2 linked regions of the Oryza sativa Japonica Group genome follow. The protein of the gene in region 1 binds, or shares a complex with, the protein of each later gene. Links are inferred from orthologs where the notes say so. Each region holds a gene or a part of one and is shown on either strand. Other genes may lie near its edges.

Evidence for each region. Proteins that work in one complex are often made in the same cells at the same time.
Region 2: the proteins of ndhJ (region 1) and nAD(P)H-quinone oxidoreductase subunit M, chloroplastic are in contact, whole or in part, in a cryo-EM structure (PDB 7WFG), measured with the Arabidopsis thaliana proteins. The link is inferred for Oryza sativa Japonica Group from reciprocal best matches to the Arabidopsis thaliana genes ndhJ and NdhM. Residues at the interface, in NP_051062.1 of Arabidopsis thaliana: Pro134, Ser136, Trp137, Ile138, Pro149, Asn150, Phe151, Tyr152, Glu153, Gln155, Ala157; in NP_001031804.1 of Arabidopsis thaliana: Thr156, Glu157, Tyr158, Arg161, Leu162, Ser165, Glu168, His169, Arg172, Ser192, Met193, Gly194.

Annotation. Positions count from the first base shown.
Region 1 is NC_001320.1:47,378-49,795, forward strand, and holds ndhJ (NADH dehydrogenase subunit J), read right to left. Parts: upstream 1,095-2,418; coding exon 615-1,094; downstream 1-614. Other genes in the region: ndhK (NADH dehydrogenase subunit K), read right to left, coding at 1,192-1,869; ndhC (NADH dehydrogenase subunit 3), read right to left, coding at 1,923-2,285. UniProt on the Arabidopsis thaliana protein: NDH shuttles electrons from NAD(P)H:plastoquinone, via FMN and iron-sulfur (Fe-S) centers, to quinones in the photosynthetic chain and possibly in a chloroplast respiratory chain.
Region 2 is NC_089038.1:27,480,375-27,483,579, reverse strand, and holds nAD(P)H-quinone oxidoreductase subunit M, chloroplastic, read right to left. Parts: upstream 1,880-3,205; 5' UTR 1,840-1,879; coding exon 1,354-1,839; intron 1,200-1,353; coding exon 1,023-1,199; 3' UTR 659-1,022; downstream 1-658. Other genes in the region: uncharacterized LOC4336531, read left to right, coding at 314-391; uncharacterized LOC4336529, read right to left, coding at 2,905-3,141. UniProt on the Arabidopsis thaliana protein: NDH shuttles electrons from NAD(P)H:plastoquinone, via FMN and iron-sulfur (Fe-S) centers, to quinones in the photosynthetic chain and possibly in a chloroplast respiratory chain.

The DNA.
Region 1 (2,418 bases):
TATTGACATAGATACAAATACTCTACTAGGATGATGCACAAGAAAAGGTCAGGATAGCTCAGTTGGTAGAGCAGAGGACTGAAAATCCTCGTGTCACCAGTTCAAATCTGGTTCCTGGCACAGAAAAAAGGGATCTTCCGAATAGGTATTGATACAAATACCTCGAGATGGGTTGGGATACATATTCGTTAATAATATAGATAGAGTATGATTTTTTCATCTAAGTAGATAAATCTCTAAATAGAGGCACTTCTTTTTCTGCATTTTTGCATTTCTTAATTTTCTATTCCGCTATTCCGACAAATATTTTTTTATTCTTGCTTATCTTATCTTACTTTACTAGTTGTTCTAAGTAATGCACGCGGTACAAAGTTCGTGGTAGGGAACTTCTTTGAGTCATCATATTTTTCTGTTCATACGAAGGAAATGAATATGTGATTTTCCAACGAAATGAAGCCCTTTTTTGCTTAGTCTATCTGAACCTTTTGTATAATTGGAATTAATTAGAATGTAATAGGTATTCTGTTTCATCTAGGAACAGAGCGTAAAAATATTCCTTGACTTGCATAAAATCTGGAGTTGTGTTGTATAAGTGAGCATGAATTTCTTATCATTCAATGAGCATCTTGTATTTCATAGAAATTGGGGGTTATATAGTCCTTACGTAAGGGCCAGCCTATCCAACTTTCAGGCATTAGGATACGTTTAAGGCGTGGATGATTATCATAAGAGATTCCCACCATATCAAAAGATTCGCGTTCTTGAAAATCGGAACTTCTCCAAATCCAGAAGACAGATGGGATTCTAGGATTATCCTTTTGGGCAAAGACTTTTATGCATACTTCTTCTGGGTTATCTATACCATACTGTATTCTCGTAAGATGATACACGCTAGCTAAAGATCCACCGGGTGCAACGTCATAAGCACATTGGGAACGTAAATAATTGTAACCATATACATATAAAATGACAGCAATGGAATCCCAATCCTCTGCTTTTATTTGCAAAGTCTCTATTCCTCGATGATCGAAGCCCAAAGATCTATGAACCACCTCATGTTTGACTAGCCAATTAGATAACCAACCCTGCTGCATTATCTTGATCTCTCCTCCTTTGTATAAATATTTCGCAGTTCGAATGCAAGTTTGAAATATTGCCCTGCTCTTTCTTTTTCGGCACAAAGAGCTCCTCCTAATTCACTAATTTGTAGGAAGATACTGGACTTTTGGATTTGAAAAAAGTTTCAGAAGATATGTCTAAAGTAGATGGTGATTGATAGAGCAATTCTTGCTCATAAGTTCCAGTATTAGTACTGCGCCGAACATAAAGCTTGTGGCTGGTAGTAAAACATCGATTTTTCTTTTGAGATAGAGTTCGATCCTCAACTATTTCTCGCGATATCTTCTTACGAAGTTTTGTTAGGGCATCTATAACAGCCTCTGGTTTAGGTGGGCAACCCGGCAAGTAGACGTCCACAGGAATTAACTTATCAACTCCCCGAACAGTACTATAGGAATCCGTACTGAACATTCCACCAGTAATAGTACAAGCTCCCATAGCAATGACGTATTTTGGTTCAGGCATTTGCTCATATAATCTCACTAAAGAGGGAGCCATTTTCATTGTTACTGTACCGGCTGTTAAAATTAGGTCCGCTTGCCTAGGACTTGATCTTGGTACCAATCCATAACGATCAAAGTCGAATCGTGAGCCTATTAATGAAGCAAATTCAATGAAACAACAACTGGTACCATATAGAAGGGGCCATAAACTAGAGAGTCTTGACCAATTCGAAAGATCTTTTAGTGTAGTTGAAATAACGGAATTGGAACTTCTTTGGTCAAGTAGGGGAAACTCAATCAAACTCATAACTGTCTTAATGGAATCTTTTCCTTCTTTTTTTTTTTTGTCTGAATATTCAGTTAAGACCATTCCAAGGCTCCTTTTCGCCATGCATAAACTAAACCAACAACTAGGATAAGCACGAAAATGAAAGCTTCGATAAAAACGGATATACCCAATACGTCGAAACTCATTGCCCAAGGGTAGAGAAAGACCGTTTCCACATCAAAAACAACAAAAACTAGCGCAAACATGTAATAGCGTATTCGGAATTGTAACCAAGCCCCCCCCATGGGTTCTATACCCGATTCATAACTAGAAAGCTTCTCTGGTCCTTCACGAACCGGAGCTAAAAGTGCTGAAATCCAAAATGCTAAAATAGGAATAAGGCTTGCTATTATTAGAAATGCCCAAAAAATATCATATTCGTGAAGCAGAAACATAAATGTACTCCCATTAATGTGGAATAGGCGGAACTGAATTAGTCAATTCAAGTCAGCATTGTCAATTTATACAGAATTTCTCTCTTTTCCTCGGTGAAACAAGGATCGGTTTTTCTCAAACCAAAGGCTTAGT
Region 2 (3,205 bases), on another chromosome or scaffold:
CTTTCGATAACTTATAGATGTTTTTTTTCTAAGTCGGAATAGATGGTTCATTTGCTGCTCAATATACAGTTCATTTTAAGATCAGTCTAGGTGAGCCTGATATAAGTAGCAGCGTAAACAGTTTATTTGCAGCATTACTGAATAGTACTATTTTCTTACTGCGTGGAATTGTACTCTGCAGTTTAGTACAACACAACTACCTAAGTAGCATGATGACATTAGTACTTAATGCAGCGATGGCATTTTTCTAAAAAAAGATTGAGATGCAGTTTTGTAATTGGCAATTTTTGAATTGTATGACACTCTTTTGCAGAATAATGCACATGAAGATCAATTCAGGCCATGGGTTGATGTTTCTAAAGACCACGAGGTTATTCCTTTGATCGATTGAGATTTACACATTGCAGCTGGTCAAACCCTCAAGTCCAAAACATTAAACATCTATTTGCGGGAATGACTCTCTTAAGGGTGACGTAATGTCATCAGCAGAGATTGTCTCGTATCTATATGGAATGAGATAAATAAATATATTGCCAATGATCGAGAAATAATTCCCTATTGGAATATGCGCACATCCTCTTTGCAAATAATTTAACATTGAGTTTTGCCTGTGAATTTGAGGGCTGGATTCCATGTTCTACCTGATCTCACCATCATAAAGCAATAAAGCAGTGGTGTTATTTCAATGTGATTGGATTACCTGAAGTATCGACATTTTCACACCGCTAATACTCAGCAAAAACCATAGAACGGAAATGCCATGAAACTAGAGTGCTAGACCCTTCCTTAGTCTTCACGACAGGGTAATACCCTCAGTTTGCTCAGCTTCTCTTTATGTAACCATGTTGGAGTCGACAAAATTATTATCGACTGTGAATGTTCTGCTTTTGTATGAACCCGATTTGAGTTCGGAAATACCCTAGCTCATGGCTCTTCTGGAAGAGCAAAATATACATTGGGCATCTTTGAACGGGAAAATCATTGATAGTTACATGCTTTCTCTTTAGGGTACAACACGCATTCTATTTTACATCTGGGATCTGGCTGCTGTTGAATTTGATCCTTGGTTTGCCCATGCTGAAATTGAGGACTCTAGACATCATGTTGTACTTTATCTCCCCATCGTATAGCAGTTTGCGGATGAAGTGCTCAAGATCAGATCCGATCAAACGAAGCGTGTACTCTGACAGCTCCGCGCCCTGTAAATTCAATCCAGGTCAGTTAAGCAGGTACTACCAATTAAGCTCTTACAACTAACATTTCCACCTGGAGAAAGAGACCATGGGTGTACACTACTGCTACCCTGCATTTGCAATTGCCAATTCTGCCTATGAGTTACGGTGCGTAGTATACCTCGTAGTGATCGACGAGGTCCTGGAACTCGTCGTAGACCTTCTGGCACGTCTCGTCGGTCCAGACGAACTCGTCGGTGGGGTCGAGGAGGAGGGTGAGCTTGTCCATCTGCGTCTGGTCGAAGGCGTTGGTCTCCGGGTTGATGTACGCGGCGTAGATGCGGATGTGCCGCGTCGTGCAACTCAGCCACTGCCCGCCGTACTCCCGGCTCATGTTCTTGCTCTCCGCCAGCGGCTGCACCGGCAGCGGCTGCGCCGGCCCCTGCCTCCTCGTCTTCCGCTCCCGCCTCTGCTCCTCCTCCTGCGGCGGCGGCGGCAGGTTTTCCACCGCCGCCTCCTCCTCCTCCTCTTTCACCTGCTGCTGCTGATCTTGGGCTCGCACCGGCGGGAACCTGACGCTTCGTCGCGCCGTCCACGTCGCGCGCGGGAGCCGGCGCTCGAGCGACAGCTTGGCCGGGGACAGGAACGGGGACGCCGTGGTTGCCATGCTGCGCGCAGCTGTTTCGCTTGGCTTTGGCTTGGCTTGTGTTTGTGTTGCGTGGGTGGTGGTGGTTTTTTTAGGTTTGCTGCGCCTGCGCGCGCGCGGCTAAGCTGCCGTGCCGTGCCGCCTTGGAGCCACTGGCTGTGTGTGGCTTGTGTGGATAAGGGCTATTTCTGGCACTGGGTTTCAGCGACTCGTACATGTTCTGGGCCAATTGACCACACAAATGTATTGGGCTGTGGACGTTGGCACGGCCTGTTGCATTGCATGACAGAGCTGAGCAGCACGCGCTCTCGTGTGGTATGGATAAATACTGTTGCATTTCTGACAAAACTTTGTATGTGACTGTTTTTTTATAACTCCATGTGGTGTGACGGTGATTTCATACTTAAAGAAGTAACCCACTTTTCCTCGGCACAGCAAAAGCAGAGGATACGCATACTCCATGGCCTTTAAAATAACGAGAGTAATTTTTTTTCCTTTTCACTTTGTGATGATCGCTTCACATGAAAGGCAAAGCAAAAGCCTCTGTAGTGATTTTAAGCTTTCTCAGGCGGGAAAAGTCTGTTCAGGATTACTCCATCCGTCCTATTTTAAGTGCAACCATAAATTTCCGTGTCTAACTTTGATCATCCGTCTTATTTGAAAATTTTTTATAATTAGTATTTTTGTTGTTGTTATGTGATGATACAACATGAATAGCACTTTACCCGTGACTTATGTTTTTAATTTTTTTTAAATAAGACGGACCGTTAAAATTAGGCGCGGAAAATCATGGCTACACTTAAAATGGGACGAACAGAGTAAAATACTTGGGAGACATGTACGTCGTACACCGGAGACTTGGAACACTTAAAACACTTTATTATATATAAACAACTTGTTCATATATATATATATATATATTGGGCAGTAATGTAATCTTGGCAGCAATCAATTACTACAACTAACGTGTATGCATGGTGCAGCAAATAGAATACTTACAACTAACGTACGAATGAACCAATTCAAACGAATGAAATTTAATCATGTATTTATGTACAAAGGAGAGACATAAGAACGTAGCTCGAGCTAGCCATGGACATTGGTCTGCATCGCCGGCGGCAGCAGCTCAGGAAGCCCGGGCGTCGATGCAACGATGAGGGGTATCACGGGGAGGTTCTCGCAGTTGCAGACCTCGATCATATTGCCGTCGGGGTCGTGGAAGAAGAGCTGGTCCACCACCGTCTCCCCGTCCCACACTTTCCTCACGACGAACTCCCGGTCCATGGCTCGTAGCCTCGCCTTCATGACCGCCATGTCTGAGCACTGCCATTCGCTCAAATCGAGTTAAGACAAATACGAACTCTGCTCTCGAACATAACAGTAGCTG